Schizosaccharomyces pombe: one gene and its partners. The gene in region 3 interacts genetically with the main gene of each other region. Each region holds a gene or a part of one and is shown on either strand. Other genes may lie near its edges. The genes, in order: php3, gcn20, mpc1 and jmj2.

Region 1 (7,187 bases), on a different chromosome or scaffold from region 3:
TTTGGCAATGCGAGCATCAAATTCGTTAGCAAGACGAGAAACGCGATTGGCTTCAGTTGATGTTACAGCGACAATACGACGAATACCCTTTGCAATACCATTTTCTTCTAAAATGACAAAGTCTTTAATCTCACCACTTTTATCACAATGAGTACCACCGCAAAATTCAATACTATATTTAGTCCAATCAGGTTTCTTTGGTTCTTGCAAAAGTGTATCTATATCAACACCAATACAAACGACACGAACAGGATCGGGATAAACTTCACCAAAAACAGCACGCAATCCATTAATTTCTTTGGCTTTGCTCAAAGCAACTTCCTTTGAATACACGGACAAGTTGTCTTGAATTACGTTGTTACAATAATTCTCAACTAAGAGAAGCTTATCAATAGGAATTGAGGACTTGTACGAAAAATCAAATCGCAGCTTTTCTTGTGAAACCAAAGAACCACGTTGGTCAATACCGTCACCAAGGGTGTTACGAAGAGCAAGATTAAGAATATGAGTAACGGTATGATTGTTCATCAAATGCCAGCGACGAATTTCATCATATTCGCAAACAACCGAATCATTAACCGTGAGATTCCCATATTCTAGAAATCCAGTATGAAGTACATATCCAGCGTAGACTTGCACATTGGTGACTCTAAAGTCAGCAACACCATCTATAACAATGTGACCAGTATCATATTCTTGACCACCTTGCTCGGCATAAAAATTAGTTCGATCAAGCAACAACCCGAGCTGCTCACCAGAGTTGAACCCCTCAGTACTTTTTTGAAATCCGCCCTTGTGATATATGCCTTTTATAACTGACTTCAATGATACAGAGTTATGCTTAAAAACATCATCAGTCTCTGGGATATCATCCATTTTAGAAAGTGCACCGAGTGCATGAACATCCAGCACCAGAAGATCATCTCCTGAAGAACCACCTTTGGAAGCTTGCTTGCTGATTTCCTTAGATCGAGCTTGAGCAGCTTCAAAACCGGGTTCATCGATTTTGATACCTGCCTCCTCAGCCATTAAATGAGTTAAATCAACAGGAAACCCATAGGTTTCATAAAGCCTCCATACGTCATTACCTTGTAGTGTTTTTGAAGGAGTCTTTTTAGCGGCGGCAGCATATTGCTCAAACATCTTCTCACCACGATCCAAAGTTCTAGAGAAAGACTCTTCTTCCTCATCAAGTAGTTCCCGGACGTCGTCTACCTTTCTCTTAAGTTCAGGGAAGAAATCCCCCATTTGTTCAACTACAGTTAAAGAAAGTCTAGAAAAGAAATTTCCAATTGGCACGCCGAATTTTTTACGTACATAACGGGCACCACGGCGTAAAATACGACGCAAAACATAGCCTCGGCCTTCATTGTTCGGCACACCACCATCACTAATAGCAAAAGTTAGGGTACGAACATGATCGGCCACAACACGGTATGCAGTATCGATACCATCTACATCTTCATCACCCATTTTGCCGGTATAAGGTCGGGCATTGGTGAGCTCTTGAATTTTAGCAAAAATAGGTGAAAAGACATCAGTATCATAATTGGAGGTTTTATTTTGAATAACCGACACAAGACGTTCAAATCCCATACCAGTATCAACGTGGCGATTGGGAAGGGGACGAAGTGAACCATCCTTTTCACGGTTAAATTGGATGAAAACAATATTCCAAATTTCTAAAACATTCGGATCATCCATGTTGACAAGCTCTGGGACAGTCCGATTTCCAATTCTGTCATAATGGATTTCCGAACAAGGGCCACATGGACCTTGATCACCCATTTCCCAAAAGTTGTCTTTCAAACTTCCAGGAATCACGCGGGATTCATCGATACCAATGTCAAGCCATAGTTGACGAGCCTCCAAATCAGGCTCCAAACCAGATTCCTCATGGCCACCAAAGTATGTAACATACAACTGATCTTTCTTAAGACCGTAAACGTTGGTAAGTAGGTCCCAGGCCATTGCGATAGCTTCTTTTTTAAAGTAATCGCCGAAAGACCAATTACCCAACATTTCAAACATAGTATGATGATAGTTGTCTTTACCAACGTCCTCCAAATCATTGTGTTTTCCACCAGCACGAATGCATTTTTGAGAATCACAAGCGCGTTTTAATTTAGCGAAATCACTAGAAGGATCAACAGTTCCCAGGAAAATGGGTTTAAACTGGTTCATACCAGCGTTCGCAAAAAGTAAGGTAGGGTCATCGTAAGGAATTACAGAAGAGCTAGGAACAATAGTATGTCCGTGATCTTCAAAGTACTTCAAAAACGTACGCCTGATCTCATTGGCAGGCCAATTAACTACCTCTGATTCGGCGGTCATGAGGTCTCTGCGGTGTAGTGTAGGTAAAGGATAAGAAGGAGTGTGGGTTGAAATTTTTAAGCGCGCAAACAATGAAGACTTAGTATTGATAACGCTTTGATGTGTTAATCGAAACTTATTACGGCAATTTAAATTAGTTATTTTAGATAAACAGATGGGAAACGAGGCACGAATCCCTAACATACGAAGTTGGTGGAATCTATTAGAATCGGTGGACGGAAAATGACCCTGGTATTATATAGCCGTACGCTGAGAAGGTAATTTACATACTAGCTACAGCAGGATTAAACACTTTCCTGACAATAAGAAAATTTATTGATTGATACGTATATGACTACGGAAACATCGGCTAATCCTTCCATGAACCGAATGACTATATGTGTCTTATGCTGATTTCGGTGAAATAGACGAAATGAGTAAAAATAAAAATGAAATGCTATTTTTTTCAAAATAATATATAGGTTAACAGTAGCAGGATTAACAAAATGAAAAAGTAAGCAAAAGCGAATGAGGGATAATCACAATAATACACTTTAAGTAAACAGGCAATAGTAATTGCTAAATTTATACTGACGACATTAAGGAAGTTTTAAATATGAACAGGCCATTTTGGCAATATAGTGCTTATCTTTGAAACTTGGTTAAAGTAGAAATTAACATAGTTCGTAAATTAGCATCATTTGTAAGATAAACAGAGATAAAACAGGAGAGTACAAAAAGAGAGAGGAATAACAAATAAGGCGATCGACGATCGCTGCAAAAGTCAGGAAATATTTCAGGGAAAACCCCGCTAATGCAAAATATATAAGGAAATTACTGAGGCTCTTCGGACCGGCTTTGTTTAGTTTCTTTCATGCTAGCAGATCTTGCTTGTTGCTAGAGTAGATGTTAGAAAAGTGACTATGAGAATGAAATTTTGGTATGAGTGAATGAATTGTTGCGCCTTCATTGCTTGAGACAATTTAAATCTCTAAGCCAACAAGGAAGTAGAAGTACACGTATCACCATTCAAATAAAGAATTTTTCCTTACCTCTCTGTATTTGGTGAGAGAAATCTTTAAAACTTCGGCATAATTTTCGAACCCAAGGGTATTTAAAGCCAATAAAACATCTTCACCAGTAATTGTCTTTCTCTTTTCTTGAGTGCATTGTTCAGATGCTATTATATGGTCAGTAAATAACTATACATGAGGCTTTTGCTATTGATTCCATACCTTCACCAGTAACAAAGGAAATAAACTCACTAACGCAATCTTGGACGCAGTCTTTAGCTTCCTAAAAAGTCAGACATTAGCACTGCAACATGAAAATTACAAAACAAAAGAGAAGAACGCACTCACAGCGACCTACTCCGTCACTAGCAATCAATCAATCGAAGAGACTGACAATGCGATTTTTCTCAATTCAACAAATCATGCATACCTTGGAAATCTTGGCGTTTTCGGGAAGTGCCGATTTCATGATACGCGCGACATTTGCAATTGGTAGGAGATTGGTGTAATCCAACCCGTCTGCGCTCATGATAATTAAATGTATCTTTTACTTGTATAATTTAATTTTGGCGAGCAGAGAAACCTCAAATAACGAAAATAAGTACACAAACCCCGCTAAAATTGGTTTGACTACTAGCAAGCACGATCCTTGACAAAAATCGACAGCTGATAACCTATTCTCGAGCCTTTGTGGAGGGAACTAAAAAGAAATCCAATAATTCAGCAGGAGATGAAGATCCTAAAAGACGAACAAATCAAATAAAAAGAAATGACCTCCTTTTGAGCAATGAACGAGGGTAATGGCTTAACGTTAACTTTCTGCTTCTTCACAAAAGAAAGTAAACGTCTATCTACTTCCAATAGGGAAAGAAATCAGTAGTTGGTTATTGCGATAAAGAAACACTATGTTATTGCAAAAGAAACAGCAATTTGTTTCTACAGGTTGCAAGCAATTCGCAGACTGACTGTATCGGCCTATAATATTATTTAAATAGTGCAGTTGTAAAGTGGGAGATTAACAAGAGATACTGAATTCGAGTGGTACGATATATCGGTTTCCGACTGGGGCATCTAACTACTATTCCACCTACTCCAGCGGCGAGCAATACTGGATGGCTCTGAGCCTTCGACGGGGCTGCGCTATTTAGGTAAGTGGGGTGAAAGGCCGAAATGGGGGCCAAAAGACTTTCAAGTGGCGTATAAGGGAAACGAGCAAGACTTTTGGAAGCTTTAAGGTCCCAAGTGGGATGAAGGTGAAGGCGAGGCGTCTTCTCTTGAAGCCAAGGTTTCCCAGTAAAAAGAAAGTGGGATGCCATCTAATCCCTATGTCACTTTTACGCTGACAAAATAATCGTGATATACGTTAAACAAGAGGAAAGGAGAGACTAGCAAAAGAAGTGTTTTGTCATTCAAGCGACGATCCTTCATACAAAAAGCAAATAAATAAATCCTTTTATAAATATCATAAACATATCATTAGAAAACCAAGAAAAATAAATAATAATATGAATTAATTTAATTCAAAAAAAAAATATAAATATAAATATAAAAAAAGAGTAGAAGCGATTGTGGAAACTGACAGCGAAATAATTATGAGACATTTATTTTACAACTTACAGAGCAAATATTAAGTTCGTTTGAAATAGTTCACAATTGGTATTTACCGTTCACATCTGATAACTGAAGAGGAATTCAATGTTATTAAAATCGTGTTTGCGAAAAAGTTAATAAAAATAACCTAGCAAAGAAGATTCGTAGAAAAATGGAATAACAAGAAAGTAAATGTATCTTATGGCAAAACTGACAATCCAGTGTTTTTTTTTTCTACATTTCATTCATCTTCACTCTCCATTCGCACGCATACCTAAATATGTTCCCGTAGGGGAAAATTGCGTATACTGAATTGTTTTGTTCTACAACTCGCATCTACTCAACTATATTCCCTACTTGACTATACTTCTGCACTTCAAAAGTCATGTGTATCTATCCTAATCTTTATATTATACAGTGGAATGCACTATAAACCTAGTTGTATTTTTATTTCTCATTTCCTATACATCAATGATATATCAGATTAAAAGTTTGCTCCTCTTTCTATCCCATCTCACCCATCATCACTTGCAACATTGGCAAGGGTAATTGAAGGCGATGCGAGCTGTGTGTTGTCAAAAGAACGAATATGTTTTTTGCCTTTACCATCATTCCTACTCTTCCGTCCTCTCGACGTCACATAGAGTAATCGAGTGCATTACTAAAGGACACTTAACTAGTCTTATTTCCATACAACGCTGAGCCGCCCATTCATTACGTTTCCTCGACGCAGGCTAATTTACGTAGAACATAATGGCAGTTTATAATATATATGGCAAGTAGCCAGTGATGGTGAAGGGTCCGCAAAAGGATAGAACTTAACCAAGATTTCTTTACATAATAAATTCATTTGCCTACAATAGTTTGGTAGTCAAGCTATTGTTAAAAGAAAATTCAAAAGTATTGCAAAGACTTGTATTCATTGCAAATAATACTTTTTCAACAATTATCAAGTCAATTTCTATTTTTTTTTGTGGTAATTGTCTACTGCATAAACAGAAACATTTGATTTTTACCTAAAATTGTTTTATTGTCACATCTAGTTGTGACAAAATCGATTTCTCTGTTGTGATTATATATATTTTTGCTGGGATTTAAAAACAACAGTCCATCTTGTTTACGCCGTTACTCTAATTATAAATCCATATAGTTTTCGTTTCGTTTCGTTTCTTTATTCCCTTCTACTCAAATTCCCGTGATCCACTGTTTCTAGTGAAGAACGTTTCTTTTTCTTTTCTTTCCTTTCTATTTATCTTTAAAAAGAACCATCTTACTTCAGAACCATCCCCATTTGGTTACCGAGTAAAGAAAAATTAACGTAGAGAACCATGAATACTTCTCAAGACGTGAACGCAGAAGCTGCTAACGAAAGATCGGCTCTGCTGCCCAGGTTTCTGGGATCGCATAGAGGCAATGTTCCTGAAAACACTGATACGTATGCTTTGACACCTCTCTTTTATTGGATTCGTAGCACCTCGGTTGGATTACTGTTAATTACTATAATATGCCATCTATTTTTACTTCTTAATATTTTCATCTCCATCCCGATTATTAGCCATTTATCTCCGGGTTTTATGCCCGTTGGCTTCACCGCGCTAGCTGCCATTTTACTAGCCATGCAAATTATGTTTGTATACTCACCAAATGCGCCCGAAAGAGTTACACAACGAATCATTTGTTTCCTTTTAGCCATCGATGTTTTAGTCGTTTTTCTTAGCCCAATTCTTCGTCATAGAGAAGGATGGCGAAGCAACGCTTTCGTTCTTTGGGCTTTCTTAATGAGCCTATGGATTGTGATTACTGATCTTATGCTTTTCCGCCAATACAAGGAGGAACATCCGGACTACGATGCAATTGCACACCGTGGGTATTATTGGTCTTGGTCCCCATCAACGTGGCCTTGGAGACAAGTTGGCAGTCTTACTGCCTCTACGATATTATCCGTCATTTTGACCATCCTGACCATCCACACTCTCGTCACACTCATTATGCGTGCTTACGATGGAGCCCTTTCTGCTCCTGGTCAGTTGTATACCGTTACCGATAGTAAAGCAAGAGTCCATTTGGAATGCTTTGGAAGTTCTTCTTCCAACAACAAAACAACTGTTTTAGTAGAGGGTGGTGAGGTTTCAGTTCATCCTTTCAAAGAATGGCTCTTAAATCTTCAACATACCTCTCCTGATCTTTATGAGGAAAGTAAGGATTTCGAAGGTTATGAAAATGATGTTAAGCCTTACCTTTCACCTGATACACGTGTTTGTGTTTGGGATC
Region 2 (8,588 bases), on a different chromosome or scaffold from region 3:
TTTATTTCCTGATCCCAGAAAACTACATCTGCAAAATTAATGATTCATTTTACGCTTCCAATGCCATGCTTTCGTATATAAGTGATAGCAACAGAGACACTAAAGGGAAAGGATAGCTTTGTTGAATATGTGGATCTTACTGTACTTCATTTTATCTAATTTGAAAGATTTCTCATTGCTCTTTGCTTACAACTGCTCTTAATTGAGAATGTGCTGCATTGCAAATGCTGTTTTGAAGCAATTTAGGAAATTACAGAAAAAAGAAACTATAGTAGCGTTTACAATTTCGAAAACTATACTAATAATTTTAACTAATGAAGCTAGCTATATTCATTATGATAAGCAGGAACTAAGTATTTAAAAAAGTAAATAATGTTGTACAAAAACGAAATAAACCAACTAACGTTAAAGTACGAAATTAATTGACTCATCTATAACCGTTCTTTATTTTTTTTATTTTTTCAATGAATAAAGCTATTGGCATTGATTGCTAATCTGGTTTGATATATGATATACATATTTTTCTTTTTGAAGTATTGAACAATTCTTTTTACGCTTCTAGTAGATTAATTACCATTTACTCTTTTTTTAAAAAAAATAAATAAATAAATAAATAAATAAAATTTTGTATATTCAAGTGGTTTCTGCTCATTAGCCTAATTCGCAAATAACTCTAGTTTAACATAAAATTTAACTTGACGAAATGCGAAAAATGTCTTGTACGACAAAATTTCAAGAGTTAGGATTGAGAGAAGAATTAAAAAACAATAGAACAATAAAACTATTGCACGTAACCCCTAAAACTTGTTGAAATTGGCAATGTTGATTAAATACCTATATCTGAATTAATTTACGAGAGAAAAAAACCTAAACGAAAGATTAATAAAAGCGCATATTTAAGGAAAAATTTTTCTATGAATAATTTCTCTTTTCATCCATTAATCGCCTTCTTGACCCATTTCTTCTCTTGTATTTACATTTTCATCTTAAGTAACACGTCACCTACATCAAGCATCCAGGTAGTCATCGTGGCAAGCATGAATTTGCTCTTTCCCCATATTCGCTACTGAGGTGTGCAGCCCTTCCGCGGCGTCATTGGAACTTCCACTGGGCCGGAAAGGCAAGAAGGATAATTACGGTTTTTAACGTTGAATACGCAAATATTTATAACGAAACGGTGGTTGAGAACTCGTAAATTGAATGAAGAAAATTTGATAAAGGTCGATAAATTTATTTAGCGATAATTTAACGATTTTACCGAGTTAACAAATTAAAGATTTTAATTATTTTTTAATATATTTGTATAAGTGAACAAATAGGTTTGCTTCGCCGTCTTTTTCAACTTGTCGGAAACAAACAATTATCTGGAATTTTTTTTTACTCGCACTTAGATTCTCCGCGTTTTATACGCATATACTAACAAGGAAAGGAATTTAGCTAATCGATAGATTCTGGACCTTTCCTTCTTTGAAACACATTTTCCCCCGTTGAATTGGTTTTGTTTACATTCAAATAAGGTAAAAGCACTCTTCCAATTGAAGACTATAGAGCTCTAATTCGATCGTTTTCTTTGAAATTTTTAAAAATTACTATCATATGAGCGATGTATTCTTTAAAAGATTTGTGCATCCAAGTCGCGCAGAAGCATGTGCACGACATCGATGATATTGGCGATTGCCCATTCGAACTCGTAAAACCTATCCTGGAAAAAGCTAGACCAGAACATTTAATAGACTTGGAAGAAAAGTCGCCTCATTTGAAAGTTGACACTCAACCATTGTGGAAAGATCACGTTTTGCGTGATTTTGGATTAGAACTTCAAAAACGAACTATATTGAACAATATTGATGATTGGAGAGGGCTCTACGGAAAACTTAAGAAAAAAAGAAATGCTCATTATAACGTTGCTTCTGCTAAGCTTCGAAGTGCTTACACCAAGCTAGAGCAAAGTAAACAAAACAAGCGAATTGTTCCTTTAGAGCGTGAGCCTAGAGCTGCTCGGCCTCCTAAGCGTCCGCGTCCCATGAGTAATTATTGTCCAAAAAGTTCTCTAATGGCGAGAGCTAAAAGTGATTTTCTCAAAAAGGCTCTGCTACCCGTCATATTGTTTCAGCTACTTCATCCTCTCGGAGCTTTCCCCAATTGCATCCCCTTGGACGTTCTTCTTCTAACGCTACTAATACTTCTACAAAGCGTCCTTTAACCTCTAATACCTATCCGTCCATTCCTCTTCCTCCAAAGTCTTTCACCTCTCAGAATTTTAAATCGTTCAACGCCGTCAAAACTCAACCTTCATCTTCCTCCTCTCCATCAATCTCTCGCCCTACGTCTTTTCCCATGTCCTTTTTTCCAAATCCTTCGAGGTTTTCTAGTCAAGTTCCTAAACGAATTTAATGAGTTAACTTTTTCCTTTCTCTTTCTTTTTTTGTTTACTAGTCTGTATATTCTTTTTTTTTCTGCTATTGATTTCCTTGGTCCGCCTTATTTTCTCCTCTTCTCCCCTTCCTCCTCTTTACTTTTTAATTGATTGGGTTTGTTCTCTTTATTTTTTGGGTGTTGGTTGATGATTTGCATGCTTTCCAGGTTTCTTGTCCATTACCGTGTTATGACTTACTTAGCTATAATTAATTTACTGTTTTAATCTTATTTAACACTTCATGTCTTTTACTGTATAAAATGTAGTTAACTTCGTTTACATATTTTATCCAGATTCATAGATAAAAGAATTTGATTTTATTTATCCTCGCCAGCTATATTATTATTATTTAAGTCTATGCTATTCCATTAAGTTTTTATAGTCATGGTTGGCTGTTGAGATAGACAGAATTTCTTATATTGTGAAATTGTTCCATCAAACTTGGAGACGACATTATGGTCACACTGCCAAATACTGGTACATGTCTTGTCCAAGAAATCAACATCGTGAGAAACAAGAATCACACCACCTTGGAAGCGTTTAACAGCTCTTGTCAAGGCATCCATGGACTCCATATCCAGATGGTTGGTGGGTTCATCTAGAATAAGAATGTGAGGGTTTTGTAGACCTAGGCATGCGAACGCAACACGAGATTTCTGACCACCAGAAAGCGTGATCATTTTTTGCAATGCAAGAGGTCCACTAACACCAAAAGCGCCAAGATGACGACGGTATTCTTCTTCACCTTTGCCAGGAAATGTCTTAGCTAAAAAGCTTAAGGCATTCAAGTTTAAGTCCAAAGTATCGACATGATGTTGTGCAAAGTATGCAATACGAAGTCGGGGGTGCCGACTAACTATACCAGATGTTGGATGAAGTTGTTCGATAAGAAGCTTAAGCATTGTTGATTTACCAGCACCGTTGGGACCAACCACACCGATACGAGAATCCATTTGAACATCAATATCAACATGTTTGAGAATAGGGTGACCTGGAACATACTCAAAATTGACATCAGACATTTGTAAGATAGGAGGAGATATTTTTTCCACAGGTGGAAATTCAAACTCAACTTCTTCCTCAGTTTGAGGCTTTTCAAGGATCGGCAGTTTTTCCAACTTCTTAATACGACTTTGTGCTTCGGATGATTTGGCAGCATTATAACGAAATTTGTCAATGAATGATTGCAAATGTTTGCGGTATTCCATTTGCTTTTCATATTCACGAAGTTGATTTTTGCAACGTTCTTCACGAGTAGCATAGAATTGACTAAAATTACCCTTATAGTAATCCAAGCGCTCAGAGTGTTGATGAATAATATCAGTAGCAACTTCATTCAAGAAAGAACGATCGTGTGAAACGACTAAAACGATATTTTTATAAGTTTGTAAATATTCAGATAAGAAAGCAATTGAGGGAACGTCAAGCATGTTCGAAGGTTCATCCAAAAGTAGTAAATCTGGTTGACAAAACAGAGCACGTGCCAATGACAAACGCATACGCCAACCACCTGAAAAAGTCTTGGTAGCATGGCTTTGCATTTCTTGAGTAAATCCAAGACCAGCTAAAATAGTAGCAGCGCGTGATTCTGCTCTATCAGAGTCCATCTCGGAAAGCTTATTTTGAATATCTAACAACCGTAAATCAAGTTCGTCTCGTTCACGCTCAAGGCGACGGGAAATAGCTTGATCAGCAGTTTGGTCTTTACTAAGTTCTTCCAATTCTTTTTCAATCGTTGATAGACGATTAGTTATCTTTTCCTGGTCCTGAATCAAATACTTGCGCCAAACATCGGCATCCAAAACTGACTGTAGGGCAGGTGTATCATCACCTGTCATTTCTTGCTCAACATGAAGAATGGTAATATGGGTAGGAATCGCAATTTCACGGCGAGAAAGAGCACGTAGAAGAGTAGATTTACCGATACCGTTGCGACCAGTTAAACCGTATCGTCTACCCTGTGCAAGTGTCAACGAAGCACCAGTCAATATACGATGACCAGCAAAAGCAAGATCAATTCCATCAATTTTAATATCTTTCGATTTTCCTTGGTTACTTCCGGATAAATCTAGAGGATTTACAGCCATGTAAAACTCTTCATAAGACTTTTGTTCGGGTTGAACCAACTTTGAAGATTCGTATTCTGCTTTGATAGTACGTTTCTCCCATTTGGCACGAATCTTCCGTTCAGCCTTCTCTAATTTTCTTCTATCTACCCTAGATTCAACCTTACGGCCCTTTACAGCATCTAATTCCATCTTTTCGCCAACCAAACCCATAGTTGACGAAATTTCGGATTGGGAATCCATTCGAATAGTCTCCTTCAAACGAACAAGTCCATTCGTTTGTAATGTATCTAGATGTTCCTCTCTTTCTTTAAATTGTTTCTCTAGTTCGTTTTGTATGAGCTGTACCGCTTCCTCACGAGCGCCAGCATCTAGCAATAAATTACGAATGAGAGAGATCGTATGGTCTGAAGCCTCATCTACATCTTTAATAGCATCATTAGCATATCCAGTGCAGTAGCTGAGGACATGAGGGTCTACTTCAGAGCAATTATTCTGAATGACTTGCTCCATGTTGGATGTGAGGTGGATAGTACTAAGCAAGTTATACTACTGCTATATATGAAGCCTCAATCGGCAAAACGATGAGACTAGGCATGAAAATATACTAAATACCTTATAATAGTGAATTATATATTTTTTTAAGAAAAAAAATTACAATTCCAAGAAAACTACTGTGAACTTTACTGATATTTTTAATGACCCACAGTAGACATCAAATTTTATCAAGCTAATCCTTATTGTTGAATAAAAGCAATTGTATTGAGTTGATATAAATTGAAAAAAAAAATCCAAATGTGAACTCAATAGAAATACTTTGCAAAGAGAAAAACATCTCAACTCAATGAAAGTGGTTTTCTATCAATCAAGGCAACAACTGTTTCGTGCCGTAATCGAAGAGACGACTAAGCATTGAATTCAGCTATGTTCAAAGACATTTAGAAAGCAGAAAAAGGATACGTTAACCTAGAATATAAATCATAGTGAGACGGGAGTTATAGAGATACATCCACGTTCGTGGTCAATCAAAAGAAGGATCAGACAAAGGCATGAAATAGATATAAAATCAAATCTCAACGACGTAGATGAAAATGTAAATTCATAATCGGAAAATAAAAGGCAAAATTTAATCAAAGTTAATTACCAAACATCTTCCAATTGAGCATAGGAAAAGCAGTGAATAAATTTAATGTTCTTTTTCATTCTCATACTGAAGGAAAAGTTAGCTGATGCAATGTAAAGGAAGAGATACATACTGATTCAAGAAAGTCAAATTTGTTGCTTTCTCCAGCAGCCTTAGTGGGAATGGTTTCTCCCTCATACTTGTAAGAGTTTAAAGCAGAAGTAAAGTCAACATCGTATTTTGGAGCAGTAGGAGCGCTAGGCATGGACCATTCCTTTACTTCAGCTGCCGTTTCGGAAGGGACAGCTTTAGGCTTATATGATTCTAAGACACGACGTGTAAGAAATTGGTAAATTAAGAGAATATAATAACATACTTAAAGAAGAAATATATAAACCCTGTACTACATCGACTAAATTGCCATTAGTAATCTCATCAAAATCAAAATGTCATTTCATACCGTAAAGACGAGGGGAGGTGGTCGAATAACTACGACTTAGTGATTTCTATATATTAGCTCCTAAATTCTTAAAAAAAGCAATGTATAACGTACCAAAATTCGAGACATTGTTCTTCCTTCACAATATATGTGGATGGTAGTGGTAACTCACTTAGGTAGCATGTATTGAGTAAGAAAGCCAGCATTGTCCGAAAGTACATTAAACATACTAAATCTAATAGCTAAAGTTTTAAATGCCCAAATAAACAATCGCTGAAATAGAAGGACTATTAGTCTCAAAAATTTCATCCAATTTACACCTCTACCAAAAATCTACAAAACAAAATTCAACTATACAAGAAAAAAAAGCGTAGGTACATACAGATATTGAAAGAGTTGGATTAACCAAAACAGGACGTAAAAAGCAAAACAAAACAAAAAAAAACAGGGAAAAGAGGAAAAGAAAATATACTTTCAGATTGAAACGGTTAACTCGTGAAATGTATAACAAGTTCAGTGGAATTACTGTCAAACTAACAGCAGCACATGATATGAAAAGTGATGAGAGGGGAGTTTTTGAAGGTAAAAATGCTTTTAATAAAAAATAAATAGCATCAAAAAAATTGTAAAAGTATTCCATGGGACTTTAAATATATACGACAAAACCAGTTCTAAAATGTGATTAAACTTCAACCGCAAGTCGAATGCAAGTTAAAATATGTATAGAAATGCATTCCGACGGGTTATCGACTCAATGGACAACAAAGACTTCGTAAAACTAGAATAAAACTATTTGCTTAATACTTTAGTTTCCCGAAATAATTCAAAAAGCGTAAAATTGCAAGAATTTATAAGAGCGCTTCGCATCAATGAAATACCTATACCTCGATATATAGTAAACGATAACCAAGGAATGGAAGACAAAGGGGTTTTAATTGATAAGAGTGTATTTCTTTGTACAATGGATTTGGCTGTATCCACCGGGAATACCAAAATCCAAGACAAAGCGCCGCAAAAAGCACCAGAGAAGGCATAAGCAAAATGCGGCTTCACATCATTCGCTATCAGATTTTTCTTAAAGGTTTCGTATATTGTAAAATAACAAGCCGATCCTAGAGCGTCTCTGGTTAGATGATAACGATACCCATTCCATAATGCAGTAAATCCATACCTCCGAACAATGTCAGAAGCGCTCTGGAAAGATGACAAGGGAGGTCTGACACTTAGCTTGGAATTTGTCTCTTGCCGACGGCCCATATTTGTTTTGCGAAGAAGCATGTCAATTTGTGAATATAACTTTGAATACTCGAATGGACAAGCAAAAAGTGATATAAAAGTACCAGTCCCAAGCCCGGAAATGAAATACCGAAGTGTAGGATCCACATGAGCAAATGTAAGTTTTAAGGAATCATACACCGTAAATGATACTGACCTCGATAGAGTGGCTGATATCAATGGTAGAGTAAGACCACGATACAAACCTTTTAATCCCTCGTTTTTAACAGCGTTTTGGAAACAAGAGCGAATGGTTGGGAAATTGTAAGTTTGCTGTCGAACTTTAATCGAGTCAAGAGGATACCCAATAACATTGCTAATGGCAGAAGAAACCAGAGCAGCGGAAAAGGTAGATGCGGGAGAGCCCGAGTGTGCTTTATGGGGCTGGTTATGAACTGGTAAACCCATTTTTTGATCAATCCTTCAGAAATAAAATAGAGAGAAATGAGAGAAGAAAATAAAGATCAATATTCTAGCAAAAATAGATTTTTCGACTTATCTAAACAAATGAAGTAATCGAAATCCTCTTTCTTTATGTAAGTACGTATATGTACGTCTAAATTGTATGTATAGTCTAAAGTATTCAGAAGTTCACCACCCATGTAAGATGAACTACTAAAAAAAAACTTGTTTTTTATATTTTGAAACTCGAAAAAAAGTAAAATCGTCAATAATTATGATCAATTTCAGAGAAAAACCAAAAAAGAGACAGTAACAGCACAACACTCACAGGATTGTGCAATTAATATCTTCAAATAGAGTTTAATACGCACTCACAAGATACAGTGTATCCCTTACATATGTGATCTTCTATTTTAGAAAAAATAAACAACACCTTCTATTTACAAATCTAACTTCTGCTTTTCCTTCACAAGGATATAAGCTAGAGGGTTAGTAGGAATAGTGTGTAGTAAGGATATCGGTACGGGATGGTGATGGGACAAAACCCTAACCTAATACTACAGTATCTCAAAAAGCCGTCACTGTTGTGCCTTCTTGAAAATACATAGCAAAGGTAGGTTGCGCAAAGCACCAAACAAACAATGCCTTCTGCTCCTCGTAAGCAATCCAAGACTTACAAGGTTCCTCGTCGTCCCTTCGAGTCGGCCCGTCTAGATGCCGAGCTCAAGCTTGCTGGTGAATATGGTTTGAGAAATAAGCATGAAATTTGGCGTGTAGCACTTACCCTTTCTAAAATCCGTCGTGCTGCTCGTGAGCTTTTGACCCTTGACGAGAAGGATCCTAAGCGTCTTTTCGAGGGAAATGCCA
Region 3 (7,673 bases):
AGAAGTAGGTCCACGCTCCTTTTCTGAGTCGCTTTGCTTAATATCTTCCCGATCACGCTGGTAAGCACCAGTGTTCCAGGGCTTAATATTCGACAAATAAAGTTGGTTAATCTCTTCCAAGGTAAGACCTTTGGTTTCCTTGGCGAATAGGAAAATAATAATAGCGGCACACAAGTTGCAAGCTGCAAACACATAACCATACTTGAAACCAATTGAGTTGCTAATAAAGGGAGTGAAGAAGGAAATCATAAAGTTCCAGAACCAGTTGCTAGCAGTAGCGACGGCAGCACACTTGGAACGATAACGAATGGGATACGATTCACCAACGATAACGTATGCGGCAGGAGCCCAAGTTTGAGCAAAACTGAAAATGAAAAGACATGAGAACACAATCATAACGGCACCAGCACGATGATTCGAAGTACCATTGGGGCGGGTAAGTGCACGATCACCTACAGAAGCATAAATAAAGAAACAAATAGATTGCCAAACACCACCAACGATGAGGGGACCACGACGACCAAAGTATTCAAGAACAAAGATAGCACCAAACGTACATCCAAAGTTGACAGCATCAAGAATCAAAGCTGCGAGGAAGGGGGAGTTCAAGCCAGTACCGCGGAATACCTGAGTACCATAGTAGAAGAAGTAATTGTTACCGGTCAATTGTTGGAATGCCATGACACCCATTCCCAAAAGTGTTCTGTAACGAATTTCGTTGCTAAAGATCTGAGGCCAGGAGCAAGGACCACCAGCCAATTCTGCCTCAACGTCAGCTTGAATGGCATTGTATTCTTTTTGCATGATGGGATGATCGGCTGGGAGGCCAGCATTACGAGTAAGAATTTTCATACATTCTTCATTTCTTCCTTTAACTGCAAGGTAACGTGGGGATTCAGGGAGGAAAAGCATTCCAAAGAACATGAGAATACCCCAAAGTAAGTTAATACCGATGGGAACACGCCATTGAGCTTCAGGATGAGTGGTGTATTTGTGAGTACCCATGTTGATACAGGCGGCAATAAAAATACCAAGAGTAATGAACAATTGATAAGTAGTTACAATGGCACCACGAATATGGGGGGGAGAAGATTCGGATTGGTAACCAGGAGCAATGACTGACAAAGCACCAATGCCAAGACCAGTCCAAATTTTAGCTACCATCATTTGAACCCAAGATGGAATTGTGGTGAGTTGAACGATAACACCGGTAATGTAAACCAATGTCCATCCCATGATACACTTACGTTTACCGAATCGATCTCCAAGAGGTGAAGAAAGTAAACATCCAACAGTAGTTCCAGTGTTAACCATACCAACCAAAAGACCTTGGCGAGCAGAAGAATACGAATACGTATCTGTGACAGGATCATACCTGTCTGCGTATCGAGATTGAAAGTCCCGCATATTAGTGATACCACCAATGGAACCCGTGTCAGCACCGAACATCCATCCGGCCATGGACACGAAGACCAACATGACAATGGTTAAGATTTTCGCCATTGTTCTTAATAAATGCTAGTTTTTTTAAAAAGAAAAAGTAATGACCAAATGAGAAAATTCTTTAGTCCTGATTAAGTAAAAGAAAAAAAAGAAAATTTCCGGGTTGCTTTTATAAATATATTAATCGCAACGATGTAGTAATATTAGAGAAAGAAGGAAAGAATAGAAGAGTAAGTATAGAGAATCCTTGGTATTTAATAATACAACGCTATATGTATATAAACCTTATAAGAATACAGAGAATAAGAATACCGAAGAGAAAGGACTTTTTTTCTTTAAGGAATGAAAGGATAGTCTTTATTTCCCAAGTTAAAAGAGTCTGTATAGAAAATCTCAAAAGATATAATATAGAGAAAGAAGAAAAGTACCGAGGTGAGGACCGCTTTTATAGGAAAAAAATTGGTTAATAAACAAACACCAAAGTCAACAAATTATGTAAACAAACAATAAGGATAATCGCTCAATGTTCCAAAAAATTCGACGATTAATCAAAAAGGGGGCTTGTCACTATCGGATGTTGGAGTAAAAAACAAACAAACAGTGTCAATAATGTGGAGAAAAATGGGATGTAAACAAACGAAAATAGTAATTCACTCTTTTAATAGAAAAAGAGAGAAAGTATTTTTGTTTTGAAGATTAAAAGGAAGAAAGGGAAAGAATTTAAAAGAGACAGTAATAGCGGAGTTGAAAATCGAGGAGGAAAGTATTTAATATCAAAAAATCACAAAAGACAAAAGTCAAGAGATATACAGCGGGACCAGCGAAATCAAAAAAATGTTCAAGGAGGATTTCCTATAAAAATGATAGAAAACAAAATAAGCGGAACGAAGGAATCGTATTTTAAATGATTATCAAACGGCTGCAATACTCAAATAGGGAGGGATAAAGGGTACTTCTCTTATTAGTATAAATCAATATGAGAAATATCCTTGTGGCTGTTACAAGTAAGCTTCAAATTATTAATGGAAGGAAGAGTGTTTGAATTTTACCCTTTATATACAAAATAAATGGCATCTTTTTTAAGCCTCCTAATCGTTTTCTGTTCAGATGTTGACTGTCATATTCTGTCATTACCAGACAACTAGCTAATTCATCAATTATAACCCCGCACTTAGTGCAAAAACGTTCAAGTTTAATATATCTCAAAACGTAGTTTAGCAAAAAATGATTGGTGGATTGACCTTATCGTTAAATCTCCTAAGAAAAAGCTTTAGACTATTGGCCCAAATTTGCAAATCAAAGTAGTTTATAATAAATGATTAAAAATTTGAGCCAATAAAATAATTCACCGCCTTACAGCCCCTTTTACCCCAGAATTACTGTTAAACGATATCAGGTAGCAAACTGAAGACAGAAGTTGTTAGCAAATAATGATTGTTTTAATATTAACTTTCTAGTGACCATTGAATTTTCATGCTATTATCGTGTGAATTGTTGGCAATTAAAGAGATGAGTTTGTAATTAATTAATGAAGAAAAAGAGATACATGAGAAACCTTTCCTTTGACTCAAAGTTCCATCCGTCATCGGACTGTCTCAAATGAACTAGCGAAAATGTCAGAAAGGTCATCTCATTCAGTCATCCTGTCTCAACCATGAATCAGCATGATTGGAGTTTTGTGTAATTTCATCACAATCCAAAGAGGCGTAAGTTCCGGGAAGTGGTTTAGAATTGCGCCCGAGACGAACGAATGACTACTAAGTGACTTTACAAATTGTTGAGTAAATATTAGATCGTAAGTTGAAATCTCAGTAGGTGGAGTTTACAGACGCTAAAATTACTGTTCTTCGCTTGATTGAAGAAAGAGGTCTATTTTAAGAGACTGAAGAGGCTTAAAGCATGACTATTATATGATTCTTTTGGTGATACAGTTCTATACATATCCTTGAGGTTTCTGCATTATTTTTTCATACACATAATCTAATAAAACAAAGTGGGAATATTTTTGTTAACTCTTTTTGCCAGCTTTTTGTCGGATCTACTTTTATTCATTATTTTTTTTCGGACTCAATAATTTTGCCCACTATGATCTGTAAAAACACTTTCGTTGATTATCCAACTACACAAGTGAGGAAGGAACGTGTACATACCTATCGCACCTTGACCTCCGCTACCCCTTCTTTGGAATTCTTCAGTAACGAAAACACTAACAGACTGAGTGAAGTTCAGTGCAAACTGACACATTTTTTAAGCTCTTCTGAAAATTCATCTAGCGTTCGAAACACCCGTACCCATAAATTCAAGCAGTTGCTCCATTATATTTTCTTTTCCAATAGATCTTCTTCAGTTCTAGGAAAGCAAAATGTACATAATTCCCAAACGCTGGGTTCTGTCTCGTTTTGTGAGAAACACGCTATTGACATTAACTACTCCGAAAATGTAAACAAGCAACTAAATTTCGAATCTCACCTTGATGACCAAACTTGCTCTAAGAGATTTTATTTTAATGAGCAAAGTGGAAGCGATCGCTATTCTTTAAAGTGCGATTCCGATACTGATTCTTCCACATATTTTGGAGATAGTGCTTCCGAGACATGCTCTTCAGCTTCAAATTCGTTATATAAGCAAACCGATTTAACTTCCTTGTGTATGTTTAATCAGAATAAAATTCAGACCGATTGGTCTTCTATAGATCCAATGGATAATGACAAAATTGTTTGTGCAGACTTTGAGAAAAATTTCAACATTTTAAAAGAGCTCTTAAACAACACAAAAGATAACGGCATTGATCAACAAATCGTGCATAAGGAGCACATCTCTCATCTTGAAAAAATTTGGAAAAATATCAATGAAGAATCATCAGAGGATCCTTCATTATTGTTGCTACGTTTGGAATTCTTGCTTACGGATTTACAAACAGCCATCCGTAAATACTCAGATACGGTGTCTACAAACTCTGTCAATGAAGCATTTTTTGATAAAATAAAAATAGAATTACAAGCATTTGGCGTTCTGGTGTAAAATATGTGAAAGCTATTCTGAACTTCCCGATCATGTTCACCTAACTTTAAAAATTTTGGTGATGAAATGCTTTGACCTTCAATTTTGTGATCACGTATTACCGTTGATCGTTTATATTTTGTTTAATTTTCTTTTTCACTAATGACCTCCCTAATTGTTAGTATTTTCGATTTCTTTTAAGCCTAACATCTAATATATCGGAATATTACACAAAATTAATTAAAAAAGTAATTGAAACTACTTTTCCTAGTAAAAGCTAGATTGTGTAACTGAACTTGCTCTTTTAAAAAGTGACTTTACCGTTATCAATATATTCAATAAATATTCAGTAACCGACAAATCAGAAAACTAGTACGCCATGGTGCTACCATATAATAGTGTTAATATTTTGTATTAAGAAGTACAGAATACTAGAAGCCACAATCATAAAAATATCGTTCCACGTGACAACTTTTGCCTGAAAACATATTGTTGATATTATCAAAACAATTTAGTTGTGCTTCCACAAAAAACAAGGATACGACGTCTCGGACCAGTAAAATAGAAAAAGACATTTTGTAAAAAGAAAAAAGAATGTACATTAACAAAATAATGACGGACTTCAAAATTTGCAAATCCTAAACTAAATAGGAAAAATGAATTTTTCCTATATTAGAGCAAGTAATAAACCGATAACACATATTTCTCAGGTTTGCTTATTTATACCCTTCCTTCGAATCAATTTTGTTAGAGCAAGTGACTTATCCGTTCACTCGTATTTTAAAGAATAAATACTTGACCCTTTTCACTTTTGACGAGTGCCACTTTCAGGATGTTTGGCTGCTTGCATGATGTTCTCGAAAACAGATTGTTTAGAAGCACCTTCTTTGCCACTAATTAAATAAGTCGTTAGTAAACAATAGAATAACAAAGTCTCAATACACATACTACCAAAAGTTGACGAAACGAATTCCTTGTGCCGTTTGAACAGTGGTATTAAAGGCATGGCATCCGAGTAATAAATAGTTACGTGGGCTTACCATCTAAACGCTAGTTAGTAAAAGTTCTATCAAATATTGGAGAAAGGAGTAAGATGATTCAAAACATACCCAGGCATAACGCATAAAGACGCTGGAATAGAGAATAAGTGCTAAGGAGATTAACAAAAAAGCAACTTTTAAACGATACAGAAAGTCATCTCGATAACTGCATTGACAACAGAGATAACCACGATCAGCGGAAAAAAGGAAACTAACTCCAATCTCTAAAAGAGCTTCCCCAAAACCGCATTGTCATGGCCAAGTTATTGATATGACTATTTTTTAACACATACCACCTGTCATGCGCCCAGAAATAAGCCTGGGATCCTTTTTCAAATCCAAAATAGCAGCAATAGGAATTCCAAAATTCGACAACGGACCCCAGAAGCTATCTTATTAGCAAAGAAATCTTTTAAACCATAAATAATATAAAAAAAACGAGAGATAGCAATCTTTAAACCTTTCCATCTACTTACTGAGTACTACATAAATATTTTCTGAAATCAGGGCTTTTCAACCAGGTAATAAACCTTCTTGTGACCGACTGAGCAGCCTTTTGGCTCAACTTTTCTGATGCATTCCTACAAAAAAATGTTAAAACTGTTTTTTTTAGTGACATACATTTTTAAAAAAATAATATAGGCTGTGGTTGGCTTGCCAAAGGCTTCAAATTACTAGCTTATTATCCTATTAGTGGAGCAGAAAAATCGGAGATTAGCTACAGTCTCTTAATGTTTATACCTCAATCAGTTGATGAATATTGGAAGATTATATAACAAATAATCTATTATATATATATTTTTTACTTTATCAGGAAAAAATCTCACTTTTTGAAGAAATCAGATACCGAAGCTTTACGTAATCCATTAATTCACATTATGAGCTTTATTAATTGGATGTTAAAAGAAAAGAAATTCCTGTTGATTTTTTGTCAATTAAGAAGTATACTGATTTCTGGGATTATAGGGAAGAAGGATGATTTCGAGACAAAGTATATATTATTACTTAAATGAGCCTCGTAGACGATTTGAACACTATAGGTAAATTCGAACAGGACCAATTATTTAAATTTTTGTAAAAAGGTATGCTAACTATTTTTGGATAACAAAAACAAAAAATTTGGCTAAATACTCATTTAAACCCTTGCTCAGATCTATACTATTCTATCAATCTATCATTTAAATATTATAAAAATAGAGCAATGCGAATATTTTCCTTACACCTTATTACGAGTGTGAATTTGATATTAAAATTTATGCTGTACAAACTTCTTAAATTAGTTAAGGAAGTTTGACGAGAGAATTATTTGTTTTACGGAAATGAATTGCAATGCTTTAAAGCTGCCTGCCTTTACAACCAGTCCGTAAATATATTAATCAATCTGTCAGTAAATAGAAACGTTTGTAAGCACTAGGTCTGCTTATAACTTTAAGAAAATGACCGCTGCCGCATCGGATGATGCTGTCTATAACAAGTAAGGATTATTTATCAAAATACCATTTATGAAACGATTACTCTAACTTTGTCAGGGTAGCGGATATTCTTAGACAATGTGAGGTAAGTGGTCCTTGTTAGGATGCTTGGAATTAAGATCGAAAGCTAACAATTGATGATTTTAGGATTTTCATCGATTATCTACTCATATTGAGCGATTTGAACGCGAGCAAGCGTCTCTTAATATGCATGTGAAAACGGAGCTCGAAAAGCACGTGGAAGCCGTTGAGGTTAGCACAAATATTAAATTAATGCGATAATTGTAATTGATCTAACTTACGTCTTTAGTTGGGGAAATTGGCACTGCATGATGCTCAAACGAAAAGAGTGAAGCTTCTTCAGGAATTGCATAACGTGAGTAAAGTCGAAGCTTAAGCTTTCTTGACATTTTCTAAAAGACTTTTTTACTAATGTTGATTTTTTTTTAGATGTTGACTTTATGTGAGAGTGCACGCGAGATGGTCGATGAATTTCCGTTAATCAGTCGCATGTCTCGGATATACAAAAATTGTTATGCAACAAAACAAATGATATCGCAGTTAAATAATTTAGTCAAGGAGACAGATGTAATAGAAGACATGTTGCGTGAAGATTTAGAACTTGACTCTGATATGCCAAATTTGTTACGCGCCCATTATAAACTTTCTAAGCTTCGAGAATTCCGTGAAGAAGCCCTATACCAGGCATCCCTTGAAG
Region 4 (8,586 bases), on a different chromosome or scaffold from region 3:
CCAGGCTATTCCCATACCAAGTAACATTGCTACTTAAAATAAGAGGTATGGTTAAAGAAAAAAAAAGGACTCATTAGAGACTACTTTATTGTATAGGAGTATAATGAAAAATATAAAACTGAATATCGTGAAGGATGGTTCAAACATTGCTGAGAATTACATCGCTATCGAGGTATAAACAAGCACAATTGTCAATAAAACAGCTTGAAAGATAAATATAAATGAGAAAGAAAGTATTTCAAACACGAAAAAATATAACGTTCATACCATTATTATTATTTTGCTGTACTTTCAGCAGTAGATTTTATTACGAAATATGCTTGGACAACAGCAATTAACATATTACTAATTACAAAGAGCAACAGCAAATGGCCTTTAGAAACATTCAATAAAGAAAGATCCATTAAATTTATATTAACATTCTGTAATTTTATCAACTATATTGTTCATTAACATACAGTTGTGACATATCACTAGCAATTGTTTGGCAGTTGTAGCTGGACAAAATAAAAATAATGTACAAATGATAGGGGTAATTTGTCTTCATTTTAATGTATGAAAAATGTAAATCCCTAACCCATGCTTTTAAAGAATAAGGCATATCATGAAAAAATTAGAAGGGAAGAAAAACCGGTGATAGATACACTAAGAGCCTAGGTATGTGTTTTCTAAATTCACCGAAACAAATGACTAACATGACGGCTCTGTGGATAAAGCCTCCGATTTTGACGTGATAATCTATACGCCTCTCGTAAATGATCAGGACTCAGTGGACCAGTATCCCCCCATTGATCTTGAATCTTTCGAGCTAATTCAACGATTTCTCCAACAAACACCTTTGAAAATCCTGAGATCACAATAGCAACATTGGGGGTTACACTTTGGTTTAAAATTTGGTTAGCCAATTTTTTAACATTGGTTTTATTTAAGTTAGCACGACGAAACACTTCGTATCTTTGCATTTGCTCTTCATCAAAACTCTCTAGAAGATATTTTGTGCGCAATTTTTCATTAGCTTCGTCGTCCGTTTCACCAGGTTTTCCAGCAACTTTTGAAATAGCAGCTGTACCAAAGTCATCCCTATCGTCTTCTTCCAGATCATTTTCTTCTTGCCGATTCCAATTCTCTTTTTCTTTTGATGAGGGAGCAGGCTCAGCAGCAGGCGATGCCGTATTTGCCTTTGCATGAGCTCCTGCTGTAGGAGAATTAGATTGATCGTAGCTCATCGATCGCTGAAATCGAGGTACTGAACTCGCAGAACCAGTTCGTTTCATATTTATCCCTTCTATCTTCAAAAAACTGAAGAGCTCTAAATGTTTAAAAATTGGGTTTGATTTTGTTATGCAAAGTGAGAATGTACAAGAAGTAAATTTCACAGGTTGGAAACTGCTTCATACATAAGCAAGTACACTACGCTTCCTTAAACGTACAATACTATGATTATAGTCAAATTGTTTACATTACATGAATCCAACGATGTTTGTAAATGACCTTGAAAATATAGGTTTATAAATTGCAAAATAATTGTTTTAGAAAAGAATAAATGTAACTTTAATAACTTAGCAACTTCTGTAACTCATTATCGTCGACTTTTAGGCGTAAGGTCTTATTGCTTAAATCGCACTTGCAAAGATATTCGATGTGTAATGGACATACAGTAATCGACTTGCAAGAACAAGCAACTTGAGAGAAGTATGAAAATGCTTTGCAATGCTGGCATTGCCAATTTTCGGCATCCTCCATTAATTCACGATAAAGTATTTCCTTTAAATCATAGCGTCCTCGTATCATGATACGTATACCTAATTCACGTTTGACAGCCTCATGCACCCAAGGCCTTAGCTCAGACACACTTATCTCTGACGCCGGATTTGTCGCTAAATTGTAAACCAACATATCATGTGAAAGTACAGGAGGTTTAAGAAGTGACTGATATTTCAAAACGCCATTCAAAGAGAATCCGTTTAGTAACCAATCTTTGGGAGCAAAATTCACTGCCTCATTAATGTTAAACCCATGATTAATTCCTGCGTGAAAGCTTTTTGGAAAGGTAATCACGAATTCATTAGGCCCCTGGTCGATGAAATAAACATCGACACCTCTTTTTTGTAGCTCATCAGGGTTGATCATTGTAGCTAATTGGTAAAGCAGATCTTTTTGTTTTTTTACCAAATCAGGAGCAATATCAAGAGCGGCGCGTTCAAACCTCTCGGCTTGATCACCTGGAATTCCATACCATAATTTTGTGTCTCCATAATGTTGATAATTTACGGAATAAGTATAGTTATCCTCGACATGCCAACAAAAAGTTGAAAAACACATTCCAACGTACAGCCACGGACAGGTTATACCTGAAACAGGATTATCTATATAGCTTAATAGAGAACCATTTGTGGATGCTATAACATTTAAATTCCATGTGTCCTTAGAGTAAGGATTCACTGGATTTTTGGCTAAACTAGGGAAGGCGCTGCCCTGATCAAGGGTTGATAAATCTGCACCGTATTCCACTTCAAGGCTTGTATTATTGTCTTTTACGAGTTTCCAATACTCTTTTTCAACAATATCCTCAGTTATCTCCGAGTCTTTAAATTTAGAAAAATAATTTTTCTTAAAATTGTCACAGTATTTTTCAAAGTTCGATAAAGTATAATAATTCCCTGTTTCAAACCCAAACTCATATGGATTAATTATACATTTAGTACAATACGCTTCTTTACACGTATCTTCGACTTCACAATTGACAGGTTTGTGACAATTGTCACATAAGTGGTTGTTATTCGTTGACAGAGAGCTCAATCGTCGCTTTTTATTATGTGAGTGATTATCATTTGATCCAAAATTATCGGCTGGCATATATTGTTGTTTAATCTGCTCATTTCTCTTGGATTCTTGGTTTTGAAGAATTCCTACGGACTCATTAGTTTCGGGGTTAAATTGTTTAGATGTCTTCTGATCTTTAATACTAATATTAGAATGTTCGTCTTTTGTAAAAAATTTAGGGAAGAGATCAGTTTCAAAGCATTGATCCTCAGAGGTCTGATATTTTCTGACGAAATCCTCAAATGGAAAAATATACCTTAAATACAAGTCACTTGCTTCCTTTAATGATGCATTAGTAAAAGGAATTGAAAGTTCTCGTAAAATCCTTTTCCATACATGAACTTTTAATTCCTTCTCACTTAGAGATGCATGAGAATCAATACAACGCATTAAGCTGTATAAGTCGATAGACGTATTGGAAATAAAAAATGATTCCGGGAGCTCCATGCCCAGATTGCAAAAAAAACGGTAAACGCGTTCATCGTAAGAGACTATTTCACGAAATCGAAGATCCATCATATGCAAATCCTGCCGCCGAGTACGGAAGGAAAACTTGTTCATGTCAAGTTGCATCGGTGGATTCCAACCAGCAGGAGGAACGATTTTTATGATACCATATTTTTCACCGATTGGAGCTATCTTATTAATATAACCGATAGAGTCCTGAAATTCCTCTTTATCAGGATAAAAAACGGGAGCAACTGGAAGTCCATGAATGGATTTGGAACGCTGTTTTCTTTGTCCGGTATTTTTTGACATAGAGGATAAGTTATTTCCCCGCGTATTCATCCCATGAGGTGCAGGTTTTAGTTTATCTGTAGCATGAGTGTATTGTACAAAAGATGGGGAAGTTTGATGAAAAGTAGACTTGCTCATGTTTCCTATGCAAATAAGTAGATAAATTAGTCCGAATGGTGAGCGATTCCAGAAAAAAAAAGTTATTATAAAAAGAATTAAAAAATAGAGAATAAAAAAGAAACGAAACGTAAATGAGAAATAATAAATGGAAACAACAGTTTTTAAACTCGGACTTAGATGAAGTAAGTTTTTTATGTTTATGCAATGTATACTTGTTCAATTGTCCATTGAAAAGACGTAAGTGTCTTTATGGGATATAAATAAAGAAATTAGGTAAAATTCGAAAATAATCTTAGGCTAATAGCATAAATAGGCATTAAATTAATATTCGTAACGTATGGTTAAGTGAAGGTTGTGACAACTTCAGTTGACGATTTTGAGAGCTAAAGGAACGATCATTAAATTATAAAGGATAGAAAAAGGAAAGGTATTTTTCACAATTAGCATAGAATTTACAATCGGAACAACGCCATATCAGCACCAAAGCATTTCAAGGTAATTCACCGTTTAGAAAAGAAAGCGTGGATGGCAGAGGCTGTAGATACACTGAACGTATTCTGTGATCAACATATAAAGGTTCCATCACGTTCAAATGAATGACAGGTTCAGAAACGTAACTTTTGCTAATAATGGTGGTTAGTACTTGCCTTGGTAAATGATAAGATAAACTATCAATGCAATATTTAGTAAATTTAATAAATACCTTCTGGAAACAGCTACTTGCTCCGCAATCCACCAAGGAGAACGACATTGAACTGATTTGTAATTTGGCAAGCGGACGTGCTTTCTTAGATGCATTGAAAATGCATAATCAAAATTTTCATAACCTTCTGCTAAAAATTTCGCTTCTCCGTTGTGTAATTCTATCTTTAGTAAGAACAACTGAACCATAAATCATTCGACAACAAACAAGTGCACATCAAACCTTTAAAACTTACGCCATAAAGCAATTAATGCAGAAGGTACGGTTTCATCAAAAAAGGCGCACTTTCCTTGAAACATTGACAGGCAAACTGTTGTAGGTAGTTGGTTTGTTTACAATTGCGCGCGACGCGTTTCGAAAAAGAAACACAATAAAAGATATTCAAGAATACTAACCAATACTTTCTTTCTATTTTTTAATACACAATAAGAAGCCGATTTGATGAATTGAAAGGAAAACGATCAAATTAGTTTTATAGGAATTAACATTAGAACAATATACCAGTTCTAATAATTTACTTTGCAAAAAAAAGGATTCTTTATTTTTTAATTTTAAAAAATGTAAGATGTAAATTGATATCGTATTTTTTGGTAAACGGGAAATAACCTAAAGACATTGAAATGACCGCTTTAAAACGAAACTACAAGATCCAGGATCTTTCAATCATAAAAAATTAATTTTCCTCTTTCCAGTTCAAGGTTTCAAAGGTATAACATATCATGCTTCAATTTTTTAGAGCGTTAAGTATTGGGTATGAGTTTAAAAGTTGCCGGGAAGTTTATCAGCAAGAGCCTTTAGGTTCTCGCCGGTGACTCTCATCATACTCCATCCTCCAACTTTTTGTGCTCCAGCCTTTTCATAGACTTCAATGGCTCTCTGGTTCCAATCAAGGACCTAGGGTATTAGTCAAGGTATAAAAAAAGAAATGGGTTATAAACAACTTACAACCCAGTCAAGACGTCTGCCACCAATTCTAAGTGATTCTCGTGCTAAATAAGACAGTAAGTAGCTTCCATATCCTTTTCCACGGAATTGGGGTCGAACATATAAGTCCTCCTAAGAAATTGAATGGTTAAAATCTTGCTATGAAATCAAAAGTTAATCCTTCAATAAAAAGGTTATGAAGGACAATATGATAAGAACATACTAAATAAATCCCCACTCTGCTAGTCCACGTGCTATTCAACGTCAGCTCATATATTTCAAAACGGAACTTTTCACTACCTAAAATTTAGGAAATATATAGCCATTCCTGCGGGCTGATGGCAATTATAGATTAGTAAAAAAGATCAAGCAAGTTTACTTTTTTTTACGAACCTGATCATTTTCTTCGATGAATACTCCATATGCCACAGGAGTAACCTCGTCAATAAATCCAAATGCAACTTCTAAATTCGGAATTGTCGCTTCCACTTGATCTTCACATTTTTCAAATTCTTCATAAACAAAATGTTAAAACCGGTTTTTAAATAGTAACACAAACTGATCTGATAGCATGCGGACAGAAGTAGAGATCGACCCTGCTGACGAAAACCATATATTCTCAAATCCATATAAAAAGCTTAAGAGTAATCTCCAATTCAATAAGAGAATCAGACCCTGTGAGTCTGGGATACTGGCAAAAGCTCTAGCCTTTTAATAGAATCTACACGACTTCGTCCTCTTGGTCATAACGGCGCTTACCTGCCAATTCTTTAATAAACTGATAAACGGTCGGAAGATCTTCTTTAATGACAGAGCGAATGCGAACTGAACCCATGTTTTGAATTAATTGGTTTACTTGGTGTGCAGTGCTAACAGTAAATAATATGCGTGGCCTAATGGTAGTTTATTGTCTAGCGCACTTTAAACTGATGAGATCTCATCATATTATTTTTGGAATGCCAAATACGGGTAGAAACTAATCTAGTATGTTCCATTTACCTTTTTATGTTTGGGAATGAATAATCCGCTTTTCTACTGAACGATTATTAAATACTACCTTGAAAGCTAAAGCAACTCATAATAATGAAACATTAATTCAGTAAACAATTTAATAAACAGCATGGTATAATAAAGAATATTATAATAGTTTTTCGAAGTTATGGTATTTGTATTAATTAACATCTAAAAAAGTTGAAAGATGTAAACTTCCATTTAAAATAGCTCAGTTAAATCCATATTGCATTTATGCACTTTCCAAAAAAAAAATGATACCTGAGACTATGAGAGACATAAAAGAACGTAAAACAAGCCTGAACGGAAGCTATCCACTTAAATTGAATAAATTAGTAATAGATTAAGCAAGCATAAGTTATTTTAAATATGGTGATTAGAATGAACGCGTGTCTCAACGCAAACAAATCCTTTAATGATGTAGCGAATATGGCACAGGCAAATAAATGAAATACAGTGGCCTCAGAACGCAATGAGTAGAACATGAAGTGGAGAAATGATAAAAAAGAGAGTGGTTTTAAAAAACCAAAATTACTGGATGCAAAGAAATGCGTGTATGAACAAAAACAATCAATACGTTTGTTTCCCCCAATTTTCTGTAAATTTTATGAATCTTCAATTATTGTACCCAAATGTAAATGATGTTTGAAAGGATATTTTTGTATAATTTTTGAAATGGTAAGAAAGTCGGCTGCACTCAATAGTCCAACGGGCATATCGATGTTAATCCCACATTGGGTGAAGGAGGGTAATAGAGTTTCCGCACCTGGGCCTAAATAATAAATGGATTTTGAAAGTGATGTTGCTTTACATGTCAACAGTATCCTAACAATGCTTTCAAACACTGGAATAGACAATTGTTTATCTTGTGGTTTGGAGCACATTTCAACCAAAGTAAGGTCCTCTTTATGCGGTTCACTAGTAATTGGCGTGGGTGAAACTAATAAAGGATTTGGAGAAATTTGATAATTCTCCTTGGCCTCTTTACTATACCCCATACATAATTTTTGCAATGTTGACTCGGAGGCAGCTAATACACGAGAGTCTGTAAAGGCCTCTCGGAAAACTGATGTCTTGGATCTTTTTGAAAATCCCCTACTTCCAAGAAGAGTAACAGTAGGAGAACAGGGCAACCATAGCAATACACGAACTCTTCCAAAAATGCCAAGCCAATCCCTTGCCGAGAGAAAGTCTAAAATTTGAGAAACAAATAATAACCCGGCATAACCATGAGGAAGATGAGCAAAAAATAAAAGTTCGCGATGTGGTGATAACTTCTGCTCCTCTTCTGTTTGAATACGAGGATCCAAAACCTTCGAAACGTACACATCTTCGTAAGTTTGCCAATAATAACCATCTTGATGCACCCACTTAATCCTTCCATCAGAAAGCGTACACAATTTTTGTAAAGGTTTGGAAAAAACTTCCCGTGATTCTAGCACAACGTGACTTTTAGGTTGGAAGTAATTGAACAGCGAAGTGGTAGTCACTCCCGGTCCCGGTGCCATTTCTAAAATAGTCATTTTCTCCGAGTTGTATTCCTTAAGCAGATTGCTTTTCACAAGCGCTTCATCCATCAAATTCTGATTCACAAGATACGATGACTTATACGAAGAACGACCGTTTAGGTTTAATATCTTAACAAACCCCGTGGATCTTGGTCCTCCAAATGCAGCTGCGTCATATAAAATTTTAGGAAGCTTCATATTGATTATTTTAGCAATTGATTACTTTCTGCATAATTCGTATAAACAGTCCAAGATTGGTCAAATGACCTGTGATATATTCAATAACGAAAAATTGAAGACATTAATTTTTTTTCTAATTTTAAAAAAAGATGTCACCTTTACGCTTGCTTTCTTTTTCTGTTCATTTAAATGTGGTTAAACAACACATTCATATGCGCATTGTTCAGTCTAAAACATCACCATGTGCAAGTTTATTTAATGCTCGGCTTTAGTTAATTCATTCATAAACATTAACGAAGCCCATCAATTTTACGCAATACGAATTATGTATCCTGGTCAAATACGGTATTTCCAAGTAAACAAAACTATAGAAGTTATAGAAACTTTGAATAAACGTGTAATGTTGAATTAACTGGAAAAGAACGATGTTTTTCAAGTAAGGAAAACTGTTAACTACTCAACGCAAAGTAGAATAATACAATTTTTTACTTTTTGAACCAGTCATGCGAGCTGTCTATGATGATTAATTAATGGTAATAGCAATTGAAAAAAAAAATATTCAATCTCCAAGTTATAGCG

The links.
Region 1: mutations in mpc1 (region 3) and php3 together harm fitness more than expected from each alone (negative genetic interaction), as found in Schizosaccharomyces pombe (one large-scale study listed by BioGRID).
Region 2: mutations in mpc1 (region 3) and gcn20 together harm fitness more than expected from each alone (negative genetic interaction), as found in Schizosaccharomyces pombe (one large-scale study listed by BioGRID).
Region 4: mutations in mpc1 (region 3) and jmj2 together harm fitness less than expected from each alone (positive genetic interaction), as found in Schizosaccharomyces pombe (one large-scale study listed by BioGRID).

The regions. Positions count from the first base shown.
Region 1 is NC_003424.3:2,142,349-2,149,535, reverse strand, and holds php3 (CCAAT-binding factor complex subunit Php3), read right to left. Parts: upstream 3,856-7,187; coding exon 3,757-3,855; intron 3,610-3,756; coding exon 3,549-3,609; intron 3,494-3,548; coding exon 3,366-3,493; intron 3,211-3,365; coding exon 3,148-3,210; downstream 1-3,147. Other genes in the region: alanine--tRNA (Ala) ligase Ala1, read right to left, coding at 1-2,334; SPOM_SPAC23C11.07 (uncharacterized protein), read right to left, coding at 4,310-4,642; SPOM_SPAC23C11.06C (hydrolase), read left to right, coding at 6,245-7,187. UniProt on the Schizosaccharomyces pombe protein: Belongs to a complex that binds to the sequence CCAAT located upstream of genes involved in mitochondrial electron transport.
Region 2 is NC_003423.3:2,051,430-2,060,017, forward strand, and holds gcn20 (AAA family ATPase Gcn20), read right to left. Parts: upstream 5,014-8,588; 5' UTR 4,996-5,013; coding exon 2,785-4,995; 3' UTR 2,712-2,784; downstream 1-2,711. Other genes in the region: atp14 (F1-ATPase subunit H), read right to left, coding at 5,669-5,692, 5,739-5,929, 5,982-6,017, 6,066-6,111, 6,159-6,173; ort1 (carboxylic acid transporter), read right to left, coding at 6,834-7,727; rps902 (40S ribosomal protein uS4), read left to right, coding at 8,363-8,588.
Region 3 is NC_003421.2:198,563-206,235, reverse strand, and holds mpc1 (protein mpc1), read right to left. Parts: upstream 6,135-7,673; 5' UTR 6,107-6,134; coding exon 6,105-6,106; intron 6,065-6,104; coding exon 5,960-6,064; intron 5,872-5,959; coding exon 5,777-5,871; intron 5,594-5,776; coding exon 5,553-5,593; intron 5,487-5,552; coding exon 5,392-5,486; intron 5,337-5,391; coding exon 5,249-5,336; 3' UTR 4,611-5,248; downstream 1-4,610. Other genes in the region: plasma membrane glucose/fructose:proton symporter Ght6, read right to left, coding at 1-1,503; mug146 (protein mug46), read left to right, coding at 3,529-4,464; sec6 (exocyst complex subunit Exo3), read left to right, coding at 6,920-6,957, 7,013-7,040, 7,103-7,207, 7,266-7,331, 7,406-7,673. UniProt on the Schizosaccharomyces pombe protein: Mediates the uptake of pyruvate into mitochondria.
Region 4 is NC_003424.3:1,803,099-1,811,684, forward strand, and holds jmj2 (histone demethylase Jmj2), read right to left. Parts: upstream 3,700-8,586; coding exon 1,552-3,699; 3' UTR 1,450-1,551; downstream 1-1,449. Other genes in the region: transcription factor TFIID complex subunit Taf11, read right to left, coding at 675-1,274; bouquet formation protein Bqt2, read right to left, coding at 4,172-4,304, 4,385-4,544, 4,620-4,683; SPOM_SPAC1002.07C (N-acetyltransferase Ats1), read right to left, coding at 5,144-5,278, 5,330-5,440, 5,532-5,562, 5,609-5,643, 5,702-5,820, 6,068-6,143; RNA polymerase-specificity factor Mtf1, read right to left, coding at 6,925-8,025.